5 linked regions of the Cricetulus griseus genome follow. The protein of the gene in region 4 purifies or fractionates together with the protein of the main gene of each other region. This does not show direct contact. Links are inferred from orthologs where the notes say so. Each region holds a gene or a part of one and is shown on either strand. Other genes may lie near its edges.

What was found.
Region 1: the proteins of Foxj1 (region 4) and Tbc1d32 purify together in Homo sapiens (affinity purification with mass spectrometry; 3 studies listed by BioGRID and IntAct, counting the BioPlex papers as one, with this or other methods). This does not show direct contact. The link is inferred for Cricetulus griseus from reciprocal best matches to the Homo sapiens genes FOXJ1 and TBC1D32.
Region 2: the proteins of Foxj1 (region 4) and Rfx3 purify together in Homo sapiens (affinity purification with mass spectrometry; 3 studies listed by BioGRID and IntAct, counting the BioPlex papers as one, with this or other methods). This does not show direct contact. The link is inferred for Cricetulus griseus from reciprocal best matches to the Homo sapiens genes FOXJ1 and RFX3.
Region 3: the proteins of Foxj1 (region 4) and Fbxo11 purify together in Homo sapiens (affinity purification with mass spectrometry; 3 studies listed by BioGRID and IntAct, counting the BioPlex papers as one, with this or other methods). This does not show direct contact. The link is inferred for Cricetulus griseus from reciprocal best matches to the Homo sapiens genes FOXJ1 and FBXO11.
Region 5: the proteins of Foxj1 (region 4) and Cdk20 purify together in Homo sapiens (affinity purification with mass spectrometry; 3 studies listed by BioGRID and IntAct, counting the BioPlex papers as one, with this or other methods). This does not show direct contact. The link is inferred for Cricetulus griseus from reciprocal best matches to the Homo sapiens genes FOXJ1 and CDK20.

What each region holds. Positions count from the first base shown.
Region 1 is NC_048595.1:253,180,162-253,184,301, forward strand, and holds the start of Tbc1d32 (protein broad-minded), read left to right. Parts: upstream 1-1,338; 5' UTR 1,339-1,589; coding exon 1,590-1,744; intron 1,745-4,140.
Region 2 is NC_048596.1:33,571,427-33,574,940, reverse strand, and holds part of Rfx3 (transcription factor RFX3), read right to left. Parts: intron 280-3,514; coding exon 21-279; intron 1-20. UniProt on the Homo sapiens protein: Transcription factor required for ciliogenesis and islet cell differentiation during endocrine pancreas development. Essential for the differentiation of nodal monocilia and left-right asymmetry specification during embryogenesis.
Region 3 is NC_048598.1:89,599,619-89,602,824, forward strand, and holds the end of Fbxo11 (F-box only protein 11), read right to left. Parts: coding exon 3,170-3,206; intron 2,403-3,169; coding exon 2,295-2,402; intron 2,087-2,294; coding exon 1,978-2,086; intron 1,560-1,977; coding exon 1,461-1,559; intron 1,380-1,460; coding exon 1,250-1,379; 3' UTR 501-1,249; downstream 1-500. UniProt on the Homo sapiens protein: Substrate recognition component of a SCF (SKP1-CUL1-F-box protein) E3 ubiquitin-protein ligase complex which mediates the ubiquitination and subsequent proteasomal degradation of target proteins, such as DTL/CDT2, BCL6, SNAI1 and PRDM1/BLIMP1.
Region 4 is NC_048600.1:128,919,094-128,923,173, reverse strand, and holds the start of Foxj1 (forkhead box protein J1), read left to right. Parts: upstream 1-1,272; 5' UTR 1,273-1,416; coding exon 1,417-1,914; intron 1,915-3,574; coding exon 3,575-4,080. UniProt on the Homo sapiens protein: Transcription factor specifically required for the formation of motile cilia. Acts by activating transcription of genes that mediate assembly of motile cilia, such as CFAP157.
Region 5 is NC_048596.1:282,039,842-282,044,133, forward strand, and holds the start of Cdk20 (cyclin-dependent kinase 20), read left to right. Parts: upstream 1-1,482; 5' UTR 1,483-1,715; coding exon 1,716-1,790; intron 1,791-2,099; coding exon 2,100-2,213; intron 2,214-4,292. UniProt on the Homo sapiens protein: Required for high-level Shh responses in the developing neural tube.

The sequences.
Region 1 (4,140 bases), on a different chromosome or scaffold from region 4:
AAGCTGGAAAGAAATATCTGTCTTCCTAGAAGCACTTGCGTGGGCAGGAGAATTACTGAATCTGGCTAACCTGAGAAGGGTGTCTGATATGAAGATAGAATGTACGGCTGGGTTTGGAAAGTTTATTGACATCAAACCATTCATCAGTGGTTTGGGGGCTGTTTTGTAGCTACTGGTGTCTGAATATTGTATATGCTCAAGCTCCCATACTTTTCATGTCCAATCTGATGTGTTTCTTTTTAAAAGTCCCACTGGATTATGAACAAAATCCTAGGTTTCCACAGCAACTACCACCACCATTCCCTTTTCTTGGTTTTTCGAGACAAGGTTTCACTTTGCAGCTTTGGAGCCTATCCTGGCACTTGCTCTGGAGACCAGGTTGGCTTCGAACTCACAGAGATCCGCCTGCCTCTGCCCCCGCATTATTAAAGGCGTGCGCCACCAACGCCTGGCCCATTCCTTTGTTTTATAGAGATATATTTTTATTGTTTCTTTTGTAATTTGATGTGTACAATGTATTAGATCATATTTACCCCCACTGCTCCATCTCCCCACTCCCTCCTTTCTTTTAAAACATGTTGATTTAAAAATTATTTTATGTGTATAGTGTTTGCATGCGTGTATGTCTGTGAACCTTAGATGTGCAGTGCCACGGAGGGAGGTGACTCAGCGCATCAGATCTCGTGGACCTGAACTTAGAGCAGGTTGTGAGCTACTATGCGGGCGTTGGAAATTGAACCTTGGTCCTCTGGAGTAGCAGCCAGTACTACTAACCACCAACTTTCATCTCCAGGCCTAAAAGATCAAAACAACAGAAAACACCGAGTCTATTTGTTGCTGTCTATAGTTTCACGAATGCATGTTGAGCCATCCTCTGGAGCATGGCTACACCCCTAATGACAATGGCTCCAGCTCCCAGAAGTCATTTGTTCATTGCTCCTTAGCTTGGGATGAGGGTTCGGGGAGCTGCTTCCAGGCTGTCACGTGACATTTCTTTAGTAAGGCTCTTAGCCGCCCTGCAGTGCACTGTTAATTTGTGTTCTGTCTCGTTGTGAAGGGCCATCTTCACAGGCAGGCATTGCTTGGTAAGCTGCGGGCGCTCAACAGGTGTCAGTTGCTGTGAGCGAACAGTTTTTAAAAATTCCATCTAGTTAACTGCTTTCAGTCTGGCTTCCCTTGTCCTTCCCTCTCACAGGTCTAGGGTTCAGGGGGGTAAGGCTCTCCTCCTGGATTCACCCCTCCCACCGCCGCGTCGGCGAGCTGACGTCAGGCGCAGCCGGGGCGTTCCCGTCAGGCTCGCCCCAGAGCCTGGAGAGTCTGTTGCTCATGTCCGGGGCTGCCTGGGCTCCGCAGGTGCCGCCGAACGTCAGGCATCAAACGCCGACCTCAGCTAGCTTCTGGTCTCCAAGCCCAGAGCCTTGATTATCCTGCACGAAGCCAGCCAGCCGCGGCCCCGCCCCCGGGCGCTAGAGGTGGTTTCCTAGGGAACGACGCTGCGCGCCAGCCGCGATTGGACCCGGCCGCGCGTGCGCAGTGGTGTGTGTTGGTGGCGACCCCGCCGTGGTGCCGAGGCTTGCTAGCTGCACAGAATGGCCCATTTCTCAAGCGACGATGAGGCGATGCTGCAGGCGATGCTCCGGCAGCTGTTCCAGAGCGTGAAGGAGAAAATCACCGGCGCTCCGTCCTTGGAGTGCGCAGAGGAGATCCTCTTGCGGTTGGAGGAAACTGACGAAAATTTCCACAAGTAAAGTCGAGTTTAAGTTTTTAAGCAGACAAACCACTTGTCCAGGAAAGGTGGAAAATGATTCGGATACAGAGATTCATTTGATTTTTGTGAAAACAGCTAAGTGTGGTCCTGTTTTTCTATCGTTTGTCCCAGTGCCGAATTTATTTTTTCTTCATTTTTTTAAAAACTGGTTTTCCAGAGCCTCTTCCGCCTTTTTTTTTTTTTGTTACATCAGTTGTAAATCATTCGTGTTCTTTAAAGAACAATCTTAACCACTTAAAGGGATCCCCTTCACTTTATCTAGAAGTAGTGACCCCCAAGATCCCTATATGCCGATCTGTTACCTTCACTGCCTGCTGTAGTTAGCCACTCAGGACGGCAAGCGGCTCCCGTATATACTGAAGCAGGTCTGGGTGTCTGTGAAGGGGCAGGGCGCCCATGCAAATGCCCTGTGCCTATTGACAAGAAACAGGACGGCCAGCATGGAGGAACGGAGAAAAGAACCTGTCAGGTGCTCCCAGGATGGCCTTCAGAATATGAACGTTCCTTAGACTTAAAGATCCTTAGAGATTTGGCGTTTGTTCGTATACCAAGTTAAGCCTCTCAGTTACAAAGTCTATCTCCAGGGTCCCAGCTTACGATAGGTTATAACTTTAAAAAAAAATCCAGTGCTTTATTTCATTTGGTCTCACAGACATTTTTCTTGTGATGTCGCTTTTGTCTGCTTATCTACTTATTCATTCTGGTGCTGGGGATGGAACCCAGGGTCTCATGTATTATAGGAGGCATTTTATGATGCTTTTATTGACTTTTGGATAACTTGAAGTTCAGTTTTCCTGAAAATGGTGTTAGGGGTTCCTTCAGGCCTTTAATGTTGCTTGTAAAAGGTTATTTGTTTATTTGTTGTCTACGGGTTGTCCTTTACAATTTCCTCAGGTTACCAAGGGATTTTTTTTTTTAAATATAGAATCACGGTAGAGTTTCTAATTTCATACTAAGTTTTGAATCCTGATTGATGTGTTGACCAGGGTAGCCTGAAAGTTACTATTCTATTTCAATATCCCAAGTGATGCTGAAAACCCTATCCAGCTTTATTTTCTTAAATTTATGCCTTTCTTTATCTTTGCTTATTTCTATATTATGTCACTGCTAATCTCAATTATTGGACAATAACTGTCCTTTAGATACACTTGCAATCAGTTTTTTTAATCATAAGTTTATTATTTGAAAAGCACAATATAGAAATTGGGCATCTTCTCAAATAAAAGTGGGATTTATTAAATATCCATTTTGTTTGGTTTTTGTTTGTTTTTGTTTTTGACAGGATTGTGTAGCTCTTACTGGCCTGGAACTTGCTGTGTAGATAGGACTGGCCTAGAATTAACAGAGACCCACTTGTCTTTGCTTCTGGAGTGCTGAGATGACAGGTGCACACCGCCACACCTGGCACGTTTGTGCTTTAAAAACAGTAAATAAGTTAGTGTTTTTAGCATTGTATTTTGGGAATGTTTCCATTTTATCTAGATTTTCAAACTAATTTATAGAAAGATTTCCATTAACATCCCATTACCTTATTATTTCTAAGGTCTGCAATTGTATCTTCCTTTTATCATTCCACATTTTAAAAGGCTTATTTGGTATACTGAGTTTCTGGGTTACTAACATTTTTATAGGAGGATGGCGTTGGAGACAGTTGAGTCAGTAAATAATGTAATTTCAGGTATAATAAATCAAAGTGGGAGACTGTGTGGTCATTGGAGGAGAAACTGATACAGGTAATACCATCTTAGAGACTTTGTCACGTAGAGATGTGGAGATGCTAGCCTGTCCCTTTCTTCAGCAGCTTCTTCTGATTCTCTCTCTAAGCTGATTATACTTTTCTAGACCATCCATTCCTCCTCCATTCCTTTAATATGGCAGAAAATACTTGAGACCTCTAGAAAGGGAAGAGGGAGTGAATACATGTTTTATGTCCATATATGATCTATATCATATATGACATATATGTGTTGTTATAAAGTGTAGTTTTGTATCAATATTCTGAGAAAGTCACAAGTTCACAATGGAAAAACCATCATTGGGTGTTCTTGGGAAATGTAGGGTAATAACACTGAAGAAGAAGTGGAAACATGAATGTCCTCAATTTAGTGACCTATTCCTATGTAAATACAAAAGTTTTCATTAATGGAGGAAACACGGAGGCTAATGGCGGTGTCCCTTGAGCAGCTTAGGGATGTGTTTATTTCCACTTGTTCTTTCTTATGAGCAGAGAAACCTGTACTAGGTTCAAATGTGCATCTTTGAGGACATATTTTTTTTCTTTACCTTTTTTTTTTTTTAAGATTTATTTATTTATTATGTACAGTTTTCTGTCTGCATGTATCCCTGCAGGCCAGAAGAGGGCACCAGATCTC
Region 2 (3,514 bases), on a different chromosome or scaffold from region 4:
ATAAAAACTCAAGCACTTACCGTCGCTGGGGAGGCCCGGGTTGTGTGTGTCACTGAGTGACCAGAATTCTCCATTGAATTGCCAATCAGATAGGTTCCTCCAGAGCTGCTGATGAGCTGTCCTCCCGTGACACCCATCTGAATACCACCAGTACCCACCATACTGTGGGAGGACACCACGGTTGTCACCTGTGCTGAACTTCCTTGAGTATCAAAGTAATTTCCTCCAGTGTTTTGGCTGTACATCTGTGTTTCTGTATAAGGATAAGTTGTTGTTCGGCTTTAGAAAGAAGAAAAAAGGAGAGATTTACTAGCTTGTTTAAATCACGATTGTTATCTTTAATACCAATATTTAAAAATATATATATTAATAATGTCCAGCCTTTGAAACTTGTTAAATTTTGTTTTTTTATGAAATATTATTCCCACCAATAAAGAGATTGATTTCCTCTCCAAATTAAATGAGAACCTTAGCTTGTTTCTGTACTGTAGTTTATTTACTCTCTATAGGAGTTCATCTCCAACTCATCAACAGGTCCGTTTGCTGCAAGAAATCTGTTCACAAATTCTGTCCTTGTATTTAAACACTCATGTATGTGCTGCTATGAGGAAAGATGAGATCTACCATGACCAGGGACCACTTCCCATCCATGGATAACTAGTGATTATCCTCCATATCTGAAGACACTTCTGTGGATTCCTTCCTTAAGACCAAGAAGGTCTTGAGCTAAAACACAACTTATGTCTGTCTAGCAGCTCTCCCTTCCTCAGTGACTGTGCCAGCTCTTCACATACTCACTTTGCACCTCCCCAGAAGTCTGGTCAAGCTCTGCCCTTAGCCTTTCAGTGAAGTGGCTTTTAATAAGGTCACTTGTGACCAAATGTAAATATCAGGCCAAAAGGCTCCTTCAGCCCTTGTCTCTTTTTGACCTATTTGCAGAATGACACTGCTGACCACTCCATGTTGCCCTTTTCTTCTTTGTCGGTTCTGATTAAATTCATCTGATTTTTTCATTTCCAGTTGATGTCAGCTTACACTATAGGATGCTTTAATTTTTTTAATATGTAAAAAGCTCACAAGAAGTTATAGGACTACAGAAATGTAAGAAGACACATTCAGAAACACTTCATTTGCTTATATCTTTGAAATTTCAAATGATAAACATTTCCAGTGCTTACTGTTCTCTTAACTTCACCCCCACATGTAGCCAAGCCTGGCATTTGGGTATCAAGTATCCTGGTACTTTACTTTCTCTGGCACTTCATCTCCACTCTTTACATTCACTGTTATCCTGCAACTACCGTTTCTAATCTCTAGAGGAAATGAACAACTTCATGGAAACAGTGTCTTCCTGACACAACAGGACTGATAAACATGAATTCACAGAGACTGTGGCAGCACTCACAAGGCCTTTACAAGTGCAAGCTAGTTGGGGTCCCAGCAGTACAAAGAGCAAACAGACACAGGCTTGAAGCCCTAACCAAGAAGTTATCTACAATCAGTATCCGCATAAAAAGGAAAAATTAGTCCTCTCCAATGGAGTCTCTTCCCTGGGCAGAATAACCACACTTCCGGGTAGACTGCATGTCCATGAGTAGATGCCTGACACAAAAAGTACTCAGTGCTATTTCTTTAGACATTTTGTCTCACTTTGCTTTCTTTGTGTACTCTTGTTTGTTGAGAGAGAGAGAGAGAGAGAGAGAGAGAGAGAGAGAGAGAGAGAAGATGTGGCATTGGGTTGGTGGGGAGGTGCGAATCTGGGAGGAGTTGGGGGAGGGGAAAAGTGTGATCAGAATATACTGTATGAAAATACCTTTTCAATAAAAGAGTTAATAGTTTTCAGAAAATAATCTACACTAAAAAAAACTATACCCTTCACAAATAACTACAAAATATCAAAGCATAAATGTTAAAGACAATGATACAAACAATTATAGAATATTTTTTAAAAATCTGAAAAATACAATTTAAAATATATGTAAGAGTCTTATCATTGCTATACTTTCTCAAACTAAACATCTTTAGTTACTAAAGTAAAAATAGGCATGTTAATTTCACATTTAGATTAAAAGATAAAGGGGTTTATGCTAATTTGTGTGCACTGAATATATAGTAGCTTCATTTAACAATGAATAAAATAAAACAACTTAAGGTTGGTATTAAATACAATCAAATGAACTGTATAAATACATACAAGGTAATAAATACTAACACATGCAATATATGGTTCTGTTTCTCTTTTTGGAGTACAGTGAACTCAGCCCATGTACTAAGTTATGTCACATGGGAGACAACAAAAAACTCTGTACACATTAATAATATCTATGAATAACTAAGAAGGAATTATCCTAGAAAGTAGTAAGAGGGTTTCAATTTTCTGTTATGGTTTAGGATTCTATTACCTCAGCTTATTAGTACCATGCTACTCATCTTACCCAGAATAGGACCTTCAATGCTGAAGAAGGGCTGAAGATACCAACACAAAATGTGTTAATTCCAGCAGTCCTATGAATGTGGATATTGTACTAAAGCTTAAGAAAAACATGTGTCAAGGGACTTCAGTAATTCCATCTTTCAGATGGACTGTCTTCGTGCAATTCTCAATGGACATAACAGATATGCATGCCCTGCAAATAAATATATGAAGTCTATATGACCCTCAGGTCAGTATGAAAATATGGCAGTGGAAAGCAAGTTGCTTTAGTTTTCATATTTTCTTCCTATCTGAACTTCAGTTTATTTGTCTGCAGAGGGGGCAGTGATAAATGATCTCAATCTTACCAACTCTAACATTCTAGGAAGCTACCTTTGAACATCTTTCATCTTTGAAGAGATAGGAATTTTTTATGTAGCTAACACTAGAAGCCCTTTTTAATTATAAAGAAATGTCCAAGCTCTTTTACAGACAGTCAATTCTCTCTCCGAAGTTTCCTATGGAACCAATCATGCTTGGTAATTTCTAAATGGGAAGTGGATTTCCACAGCAGCCCCTACATATCTAAGACTGTACACCAGGAGAAGGACGAATAAAGAAAGCATTCTCACTCCTTAATGATTCCATGTAATCATTTTTTCTAAGAAAAAAGGAAGTTAAAGATAATAAGAAAACATAATTTCACCTGCAAATTCTAAAACTTAGCTGTGTCACTTGAGGAGGAAAAGAATAATCTCAAGTGGTTTCTTATTAATCATTTGAAGTATATGGGAGAGGTAAGTGGAGGCCTTCAGAAAATGTACTACCTGCAGGATTTTCAAGAGGTGACTCTTAGAAAATTGAGTCCCATTCTGTTCACATGCTTATGGATTCTGAATAAATTACAAATGTCAAAAGTGTCATCTCCCAAAGTGTAGTGTGTGAAAGTTTTGAAAATACTGAGTTTCTTTCCTAGATACTGACTTACTTTCTTCCTTAATACAGGAAAAAAAAAAAAACCTTTTAAAAACCTTGAAAGTTCTTTTAGGAACTGGGATCCTCTCAAAGACTGGTACAAGTTTTTCATCGAGGTAACCACAG
Region 3 (3,206 bases), on a different chromosome or scaffold from region 4:
TGACAAAGGTGGTAAATTCAGACAACATTATGATCTAATAAACTTTATTTTTTAAAAATGACCATTTTCCATTTTCTTTCTAGGAAATTAAACCCTTTTAATTCTCATCTACCTTCTACATAATGGTTATTGAATACTCCACAATATATTAAGTCTAGATGTTATGGTACATGCATACACTTTCAGGCTGTTTATACCCACTGTCACCAATACACATAAATGGGGGGCGCTATGAAACTGTTTAGGGCTGTAGATATACTGGTCTCAGCATAATGCAGGAAATTGCTTTAATTTCCAGCCATTTTGTCTAAACTGTTCAAATAAAAACTATGAACAGAATTCAAATACAGGCCTGTTTTGAAGAGACTTTCTAAAGTGAACTTTAAAACATAGTAGTTTTTACCTTTCACAAAACTGAGATACAAGAATACTTTTGTTTTACAGTGCATCCCTTCCTAGGAAGTCTCATTAAAACACTCAACTGTTTTCTAGGGGTGAAGTTTTTTTTTTTTTGTTTTTTTTTTTGTTTTTTTTTTTTTTTGAATGCTGCACAGGAGAGGGAAGGAAATAATAGTCTTAACTTTTCTTAAAGGATACCAGAAACATTGCTGGATATAATTTAAGATTAGTGTTTTTCTCTTTCATAGAAAGAACGTACATACTGGGACATGAGTACAGTTACAGCAAGTCTAGGTGTGCTAACAAAACAGGGCACATTCAAGTACAATAAGATTTTTGCTTGAAATTAAAAACAAACTACATGAGATTAAAGCATTAAAATCATATTCTCAATCTGAATACATGTTAAAAAAAATCAATGCAGAAGTGCTAGCTCACATTTTTACCATATTACAAAAGCAATTGGTACCCATGTCCATAACGGCAGCAACAAAGCTGCTTGTCTATTGAAGATTACTACTGCAAGTCGGACTGCATTCAATGCTAGTTAGTTGTAAAAACACCAGCTCTTTCACAAGTTGGTATCTGTACAAAATTGCAGCTTACTTTCTTCACTTCTGTCCCTTCAAAAGTCTTTACACAGTAATGCTAAAACACCCAGCTTGGAGATCCTGAGTCAATATATTGCCACTTTCTTTTTGGTAGCTTGAGCTTCATAGTGTCAACTGACCTTGTGTATCCACTTTTCAGTACAGTCTCTTTCTGTAGCATGGGCAAGGATTTTAAATCTTCCAAAAATGTTTTAAGTTACGATGTTAGAATGGCAGGACTTTTTCTTTAGAGAAGGAATTCAGTTGTGCTGCAACGTATTAGATTCTATAGGTGGAGCAGAGTCATATAATGTGTCTGTATCATGAGTAGGTTCACCAGCTAATGTACAAGGATTGGACAATGTTCCAGCACCACAGTCACAGAAAAACCTAAAGCAAAATGAAAACCCGAAAATTAGTGAAGCACAGGGAAGTGATTGTGGGCAATAAAGCAACAAGTATTCTACATACCTGTCATGTCTAATAAATTCTACATCATGTCCCTGATGGCACTTCTTAATGCAGTTCACACATATGGCATTTCGATCTGTGGTGTTACAAGTATGACATCTAAAAACCAAAACATTGTATTATTGAACTTGACAAGAATTTAAAACCATGCATTTTTATTACTCTATGGCCAGCCTTTAACTGAATTTTGGTAGCTGGCTAGAGTCTAGACTGAAAGGAAACTAATATGGTGTGTCTTAGGAAAGTTTAACCACCTGAGCTGTAAGTAATAGTGGGAATGTTACTGTTTTTCAAAACAAACAGGCACTTGAGAAGGAGAGACAGGTTGACTTCTGTGAGTTCAAGGCCAGCCTGGTCTGTAACTTAATAAATGACATCAGTTAACAGTAATGCATCCCCCTGACCCAGTTATTCTACAGCTTAGTTCAGACAACAGAACCAAAGATATTAGGCAATGACAATTTAAAGGGAACCACTAACTTTCACTCTTCTGCATTCAAGGAATTTACAAATATACCTGTAGAAGTCATGCATGGGATAGCTGGTATAACTTGATATTTTATATAAACATTGTCCTCTACTAACAGCCTTTTCTATGGCATCTTGATTGTTCATTATTTTGTTATCTGTAAAAACAAAAAAGTATTTTTAACAGCTAGCCAAGGATACAAATATATAAGCAAGTAAAATAGGTTTTCCTTGTGTAAAATATCCCAACTCCTAGAACAAGCTTAAGCCAAACTCCAAACTATTTTTATTTAAAATTGCTACTAATGTGGAAAGTGGAAGGAGGAATTAATGGCTTCTGATTGAGGAACAGAGACTCCAACATACCTTTCATTGTCACATTAACACCAGATGCTAAAAATAAGCCTCCAAATCGGTTGTTAAAAATCTGATTGCCTTCTAGTGTTGCAGTTGCATGATTTGTAATTTCAATACCTGAAGTAAAATTTACAAACAAGTAGATGCATAATCACTTCATTTGTTTTTCAAGACAGGGTTTTTTTCTGTTTAACAACCCTGGCTGTCTTGGAACTCAGAGATCCACCTGCCTCTGCCTCCCAAGTTTTCGGAATAAAGGCATGTGCCACCAACACCTGGCCACTTACACTGTTCTTAAAAGAATCTCCAAATTGGGAAGGATGTAAGCTGGCACTTTTACATTAGTTTGCTGACTAAAGAACAAATTACAAGTATTTTAACCATCAACAGTAACATTCACTTTTCACTGCTGACAGTGATGCAGTCACTAGGACAGGTAAACTGGGGGAATAATACTGTTACAAGAGAAAGGGCTTAATGTATAAAGGGAGACAAGGATAAAGCTAAAAAAAGAGGAAGGCATCCAATACTGTGCTGAAATAATAGTTTTCATATTAAAAAAGAAAAGCTGTTAAATGGTTATTTGAAGTGATTAACCATTTTTTCCCTTTTAAAATTTATCTGTATTCCCAATCTGACTACAGGTTTATTCCAGTTATTGTTAAACATTAAGAGTAGTTTCTTTAAGTCAGGTGGTGGTGGCGCACACCTTTAATTGGTGCAGATCTCTTGAGGTTGAGGCCAGCCTAGACTACAGAGTTCCAGGACAGCCAGGGTTACAGAGCAAGGTTGGCCTAGAGTAGAGGAATTCAGAACTTTGAATAATAACCAGGAAAACCTTATAATTACAAACTGTAAACAAGTCACAGATAAAGAATACAAACCTGCAGCAAATCCATCAAATATTCTGTTTTTCCTTAA
Region 4 (4,080 bases):
ACTTGAGCAGGGTGAGCGGGCGAGCGGCTTACCGGGAGACGCTGGGTTACCCTACCCGCCTCGGTGTGTCTGCGAGCTGTGTGGCCGTTTCTGCGGATATGAGCGACAGGTGGCATCAGAGAGTCACACTTGCCTGCGGGCACCAGGGAAAGGCCTCAGAAACCAAACAAAGGCCACTGGCAGCCCAGTGAGGGGAGGCTCCAAGGGCACGGCTCCCCGAGACTTGGTCTCCAGAATCCGGGCCTCGGTTCCCGCAGCCGTCCTACCCGACGCGTGGGGGAGGGGTTCCCGGGGCCTCGGGCGGAAGCCGAGCACCCGCCGTGCGACCCAGCGCGGGGCTGTCGGGCGGGAATGCCCAGAACCTGGTCGCGGCGGCGGGTAGGGGGGCTGGGTGGCGCGGGAGAGGGCGGCAGAACGAGGGAGTTCCAGAGAGTTGCCGCCAGAGGAGCAGCCAGGGCCCGCGGTCTCCTTGGAGACGCGCTGGCCAATGAGAGCGGCGGAAGCTGTTTATAGGGGCGGAGCGTCGCCATGGCAGCAGGAGAAGCCTTCAGAGCGTCTACTTAATGCCGGTCCCCGGGCCGTCGGCGCTCACAGAAGCGCCGTCGGGCGAGGGGGGGGCGACGAGGGGCCCCAGCAGAGCCCTCGAGCTGGGCACGGAGAGCCGCGGGAGGAGGAAGGAACTTCTTCCAGAACCTTCCTCGGGCCGGGCCGCTCTGTGAGCCAGGTAAGGGACTGGGAGGGCTGCGGGCCGCGGCGTGGGAGGGCGGGCGTCAGGACCCGCGGCCGGCGGGCCGGCCGGTCATCCATCCCATCGGCCGCCCACCAAGGCGGCGGCACCCGTGACCGAGACCCGAGGGGCGTGGGGGAGGCCGCTGCCTGCCTGTCGGTAACTCGGCCGGGACCCTCGCTCCCTGCCTGCCTCCCTCCCTCCGAGGCTCAGGTGCCCTCCCCGCCTTAGCCGCCGCACCGCCGGCCCTCCTGCACCACCGGGTGCGAGCCCAGCTCCCGCTCTCTGGAAGAAAGTTAGACTGGGCCTCCCTGCCCTCCTCCCTCCCTCGGTGGGGCCGACGAGCCCGCCCTCGAAGGGCAGGTGGAGAGAGGAGGAGCAGGGGTCAGACAGAGCTCTGAGTCTCCTCTCCGTGACCGGGACACGGGTCCCCAGGACGAAGGTGAAGGGTGTCCCCTCCCCGGCACCGAGGTGAAACCCTCGCGGTAGGGAAGAGTGCTCAGCCCCGCGTTGCTCCCGCAGGCCCCGCATTCGTATTCGGAGGAGGCGGCCCCCGGGTCGCGGAATGGAAGTGAGCGTTCTGGAGGCTGTGTAGCCGGAGCCTCGGGTACCAGCGGGCCGGAGAACGCGGCGGGCCACCCGGCTCAGCCCGTGGATGTTGACCGCCCCCTCGGAGAGACCCCGCAGACATGGCGGAGAGCTGGCTGCGCCTCTGCGGAGCAGGGCCCGGGGAGGAGGCCGGGCCGGAGGGCGGCCTGGAGGAGCCGGACGCCCTGGATGACAGCCTGACCAGCCTGCAGTGGCTGCAGGAATTCTCCATTCTCAACGCCAAGGCCCCCACCCTGCCCCCGGGGGGCACCGACCCCCACGGTTACCACCAAGTGCCCGGCTCGGTGGCGCCCGGGTCACCCCTGGCGGCAGACCCTGCCTGCCTTGTGCAGCCGCACACACCCGGCAAGCCCACGTCGTCGTGCACATCTCGAAGCGCTCCCCCAGGGCTGCAGGCCCCGCCCCCCGACGACGTGGACTATGCCACCAACCCGCATGTGAAGCCACCTTACTCGTATGCCACTCTCATCTGCATGGCCATGCAGGCCAGCAAGGCCACCAAGATCACTCTGTCGGCCATCTACAAGTGGATCACGGACAACTTCTGTTACTTTCGCCATGCGGATCCCACCTGGCAGGTAGGGGAGAGGAAGTGTGGGTGGCGGCCATTCCCTCCTCACTCCCTGGTCTGGCTCTTGGCCAGATTCACATTCCAGATCCACAAAGCCCAAGGAGGCACCTGGCTTTGAGGTCAGACGGCTCATGAGAGGGCCCTGGCAAGTTCTGGAGCCAGGGCTTTGGGGTGCAGACGTTGAAGTTTTAGGAGAAGAGGGATTGATAGGGCACATTGGTCCTCCAGGCCCAGTGCGGCCTCCTATGAGGATGACACTATAAGGAACATTCTTGTCCCACGTCCCAGAATTCCTAGACACTGTTCTGCCCAAGGTTGATTTTGTCAGAACTGGACTCAAAAATGGAACCCAGGTGACCTTCCTGCCAGGTTCTGCACCCCGCCTTTTGCCTTCGGTCTGGAGAGTAGGGCAGAGATGAGCAGTAGGGGAGAGGTCATGAGGTCATCCTAAAGTCACTGACCCAGCTTCCCACCTCAACTCCTCCCCAGTTTCCTGCCTCCACCCTGCCCCCTCAGCCAGCCTCCCTTGGGGGCAATTACCTGAGCCAGTTGCTTCCCACAAGGGCGCTACCGCTGCTGCAAAGGCTTCAGGTTCCAAGTCTCTGGAACCTGGCACAGAGCAGCCAGTGGGCCCAGGCTGCCATGTAAACATCCCAGCCTTGCTGGCCAGAGGGGCACTTACTATCCACCTACCTGCCCCGCTAGCCTGCCTACCCTGGGCTCCTGGACACCGCCATGGTGTGAACACAACTAAGCAGCCAAACGTGAACAAGGCAAGATAAGGCCAAGTTCACACTGCTTTGAATGTCTTCCACTATCAGGGTCCAGGTGGTGGAGACAGAGGCCTCAGGTGGCCCAGTCTTCATTGAAGCACCCGTGGAGGCAGGGTGTAGGATCCAAGTCCTGAGGCATTCCAAATGGCCCTAACCCCGGGTCAGGAGACCCCCATCCTCTCCTTACTCAAGGCCTGTGCCAACTCAGGCCCCAGGAATGAGCCTTCTGCACTTGGCTGGGTAATAATCTACAGAGGTTTGGGTGGGAAGAGAAGACTGTGGGGGGTGAAGGCCTAGGCCAGCGGCTGGCTCAACAAACAAGGAGCCACTAAATATCCCACCACACACACCCATGCGGGCACGCAGGAGCGCAAGTGCGCGCGCGCGCGCGCACACACACACACACACACACACACACACACACACACACAATTCTTCCTCACCCAGCCCCCTCCCTTAACCCACCCCCTTCACAAACAGAGGGAACCAGCCAGGCAGAGGGAGATGGCTGTCCAGGCCTCCAGGCCGCGGGGGAGCTGAGGGCTTTGGCCAGGACCTGCAAGCAGCAGAGGGAGGGAGGGAGGGAGGATGACAGGGGGTGGCACTGAGAGCCACCCTGTGGCTCAGAGCTCGGATGACTGAGCAGGCAGATATCCCAGCAACAGAGAACAAAAGCCCCCCCCCAGCCTCCCCCCTCCACTCTGGGCTCCTCATGCCCTGTGGCTGGTGTCCCAGAGTCCCAGCTGCCTGGTCAGGGCATCGGGTTGATCCACCCCCCACACACACACCAGTCAGAGAAAAGATGCCCAGAGCGTTCAGGAGCACTGGGTGCCACCCCAACACCATTCCCCTGATCCCTCTGTGCTTTTTCTCTTGTTCTGTCACTGCATCCAGAATTCCATCCGCCACAACCTGTCCCTGAACAAGTGCTTCATCAAAGTGCCTCGAGAGAAGGACGAACCTGGCAAGGGGGGCTTCTGGCGCATTGACCCCCAGTATGCAGAGCGCCTGCTCAGTGGGGCCTTCAAGAAGCGGAGGCTGCCCCCAGTCCACATCCACCCTGCCTTCGCCCGCCAGGCCTCACAGGAACGCAACACCGCCCCCTGGGGTGGGCCTCTGACCGTGAACACAGAGGCCCAGCAGCTGTTGCGAGAGTTTGAGGAGGCCACAGGGGAGGGGGGCTGGGGCACGGGAGAGGGCAGGCTGGGGCATAAGCGAAAGCAGCCGCTGCCTAAGAGGGTGGCCAAAGTCCTGAGGCCTCCTAGCACATTGCTGCTGACCCAGGAGGAGCAGGGTGAGCTGGAACCCCTAAAAGGCAACTTTGACTGGGAGGCCATCTTTGAGGCTGGCACTCTGGGCGACGAGCTAAGCTCACTGGAGGCCTTGGAGCTAAGCCCCCC
Region 5 (4,292 bases), on a different chromosome or scaffold from region 4:
AACAAACAAACAAAACCAAAAACCAAAACAAACAACAACAAAAACAAACCAAACAAAAAAGATGTTCTAATCTTATGATATTATGTGTAAAAAGAGAGGCATGGTAGTTGATACATTGATTTTCCTTTATTTCTTTGTGTGTGTCCTCATATATAAAGTTATAATAAAATGTAGTGTATCAGTTTGGATGTCAATGCTGCATTCTCCTTAATTCTGAGCCTATGAAATCTAAGCTCAGCATGAAGTCAAGGATGATCTTGAATTCCTGGGCTTCCTGCCTCTACCACCTAACACTGGAAGAACAAGGAGACACCACCGCATCTGCTTTTTTCCTTTTAATTTGAGGCTCCTCCTCACACTGAGGTCCAAACTTGAATTTTCTGTTTTCCTGATTTAGCTCTGTGAGTAGTAAGCCACAGGGCTGGCAAACTTTTACTTATTTCATGCCCAGAAGAGGGTCCCACAGCCATCCCACAGGGCTCAGCCTCACACTGTTAAAGGTTGTGTTTGCTTTGTGTTTGAGACAGTCTTACACTGTGGCTCATTATGGCCTTGAACCTGAGACAATCCTCCTGCCTTAGTCTCCTCAGTGCTGGGATTGGAGGGATTAGCCACCATGCCTGGCACACTTACATTTCAACAAATGCACACAAGGGTTGTTCTTTCTCTGCATCCTTGCCTTCCCAACATTTGTGCATGTTCCCCTCCCTCTCCTCTTCTTCTGCCTTTCTTGATTTCTCCCCGGTTTTACTATGTTAGCATTTAACCACGTCCCAACTGGTTTCATACTTGAGATCTTTTAGCCTTGTTCTGCTTTCTGGGTACTGGAATTATAGGCAGGGCGACCACAGCCAGTTTATCATTTACTTTTCTGACAGTAGTCATCCTAAAGGGTGTGAGATATCTTTTTGTGGTTTGATTTCCTTTTTCCTAATTAGTAGGGATGTTGGTCATCATCTCACGAGCTTGTTGGGGATTTCGCTGTATTCTGAGACAAGGTCTCCTAGTGCAGGCTGACTTGAACTGACTATGTAGATGAGCGATCGTGATCTTGCCAAGAACTGGGACTGCAGAACTGCTTTAGTGAGACCAGTTTATGTGGTACTCGGTATCCAACCGAAGGCTTTGTGCACAATAGGCAAGCACTTCACCAACGGAGCTTCATCCCCAGGCTTAGTAAGCTCTTTTAAAAGGTACCTGGATTCTTGATGCCCGGTGGAGAGACCTGAGGCCTAAGTGATTCTCCACGACGCAGCTCTGGGCTTGTCTCCAACACTAGCTTGAGTAAGTTACAAAGAGGCTCATCTGCAGCGAATGGTAGACTAGAATCTTGTCTTTGGGTACTCCTGCCTGCATCAGGAGTACCCGGGCCATCCCCACCCGGGCCACCTCTCCAGCAGAGGCCCCGCCCTTGAGCGTGTGAACGCTCCCTTTACTTGCGTGGCCCTGCCCCTCCCGGGCGCACGCAGCAGCGTTTCTTGTCACGTGGCGCCGGGGCCGGATTTGAAGAGTGCGGTCATCCACGGATGACTGCCCAAGGCTGCTGAAAGGTGTTGCAAGGCGGGGGAAGCTGATTCTTGACTCAGCTCCGCGTGGGTCTTTCCGGTCACGTGCTGTACGGAGCAGCGGCTAGACACGTTATTGCTAGGCAACGCTTGCACGCTCTGACCTGCGCTGGATCCCTGCAGTGGAGGATCTGGGTGCCGCGTGTCGACATGGACCAGTACTGCATCCTCGGTCGCATCGGGGAGGGTGCCCACGGCATCGTCTTTAAAGCCAAGCACGTAGAGGTGAGGTCACGCCGCACGCGCTGTCCGAGGGGTACCCGCTGCCTCCTCTCTGCTTCAGGTCGCGAGCTGCGGCCTTTCGGTGCTGAGACCTGCCAGCGCGCGGGCCTCCGGGGTCTCTGGAGGCTTGTCCCGGTCCCTTCTGGGGCGATCCCGCTTCCAGCAGCGGGACTGCGGGATCGCGTCCCCTAGCGGACGGTTTACATATTCCCGACCTGGGGGCGGGTGTCTTGGGTATCTTGTTCCTGGTTCCTTGTTCTCTCCCTGCCCTTCCCTGCCTTCCGAAGGTCTTTGGCACTCTTTCTTGCACAGACTGGAGAGATCGTTGCCCTCAAGAAGGTGGCCCTGCGACGGCTGGAGGATGGCATTCCTAACCAGGCTCTAAGGGAAATCAAGGCTCTGCAGGAGATCGAGGACAGTCAGTATGTGAGTGGGGCTGGGTTTGGAGTGGACAAGACAGTGGGCGGCAGGTTCCAACACCGGAGCTTCTCGCCCGCGTTTGCTCATTTCCATCCCCACCTACCCACCCACATACACTTTAAAGGATTCCTTCTAATCCCCACTCTGCTCCTGCCTGATTACCCCGTATTTATGCTCCCAGGTCCAATCCCCGAATCCCCCCCTCTCATTTACTCAATCATCGCTCATACTCTCAGTCATTTTTCCCTCCAGATATTTTATGGTTTTTCTCCCTCCTTCTCTCCTTTTCTTCTTGTCTCCTCCCCCCCCCCACCTTCCTCCTTCCCTTCCTTCCCTGTGCTAGGCTGGTGCTGTGCCACTAAATTATGTCCCCAGCCATACTGATTTCTCAGTAACTTGTACCGGTTGAGCTCTACTTTGTTCTACAGATGTGCAAAGGTTTTATGTGTGGTCACCCTGAGTTCTCCCTGCTTTTCAAAGCAGGTTTCAGGAATTTGCTAAGCAAGGGCAATGTTGCATTTTCATTATTAGTAGATGGGTCTTTAGCTATCCAGTGAAAACTTTGGGTTGAGTGTCACTGGCAGCCTTCCTCTGGGGCCTCCTAAAAGTCCTGGCCTGTGCACAGCACCAAGGATACTGAGGAGGTCCAAGTCTGTTTCCTGAGAACATGTGTGTAATGGAATCAGTAGGAGATGACAAGACGACATACCTGGGGTGTATGTCTGTGTGCTAGTGAAGTGTGAAGTCTGGTGGTGTATGTTTCAGGTCTGACTGTGGATAAGTTTTTATTTCTTATTCCTTTATAATTTGTGTACTATCTGAATGTAGGTGTATGTTTTAATTTGTTCAATGATTATTTACTACCAAAAATCCCAATAAGGTGTTTCTTTTTTGTTGAAAATAGAAGGGCTTTCCAGATAGCCTGTGTGTGGGACAGGGGTGCAAGATCCATAAAGATGCTGGTGATTGCCAGCCACCTAAAGTTGCCATTTTAATTAACCAATTAATTAATATGTAATTTTATGTGTACGAACATTTTGCCTGCATCTATATGTGTGTACAGTGTGTGTGCCTGGTGCCCATGGAAGCCAGAAGAGGACATTAGAATCCCTGGAACTGGAGTTATGGACAGTTATAGCACCACTATGTGGGTGCTGGGAACCAAACCTGGGTCTTCTACTTCTAATTCTACAAGTACAGTTAACCACTGAACTTTCTGTCCAGCTCAGAGTTTTCATCTTAAAAAATACACCCAGGGGAATGGGGAAATGGCTCAGTGGGTGGTGTTAAGCAGGTGAATGTCAGGTGGGTGTGGTACCCCACCTGTGAGTCCATGTTTATAAGGTACTAGACAGGGAATCCCTGGAACAAGCTGGTCAGTAAAGCCATCATATTGGTGAAGCTCTGAATTCAGTAGAAGACATTGCTTCAACAGATAATGTGGAGAGCAATTAAAGAAGACGCCTGACTTCAGCCATGGTTCTCCACATGCTCATACACACACATACGTACATCCAAGCACAAAGACATAAATAAAGAGATTTTTCCCCAGCTGTTTTCATCTTCTTCACTAACTACTATTTCTTAGGTGTCCCTGCAGGGACTACCATCCATATAGTTTCCAGGAGCCTGTCAGGACAGGACAGAAATGTTCATCAGCTGGATGTTGGTTACACCTGTAATCCCAACATTTAGGAAGTAGAGGCAGGAGGATCCTAGTCATCCTATGCTCCATAGTGAGTTCAAGTCCTTTCCTCCCCACTGTTCCAAAAAGACACATATTTTCTTGTCCCTCCAGCCACCTCTGTTAGCTTTAGTGCCTTGTTCTTTCTGCTCTCCCTGCTCAGACCTGATTCCTTGACATCTGCATAACTGGCTTCTCCTCTGGCTAACTCCTGACCAACCCCCTTCTGAATAAAGTATACGTACTTCCTTTGCTCTCTCACAATCACATTGCCCACTGTTCCTGTACCTTCCAGAACCCAAACATAGATTCCCATCATTATTTGTTGGTCATTTATTCTCTGTTCTGTAAGCCCCTCAGAACCCTTGCATCCTAGCTCAGTGCTCTGTGCAGCCTGGGCC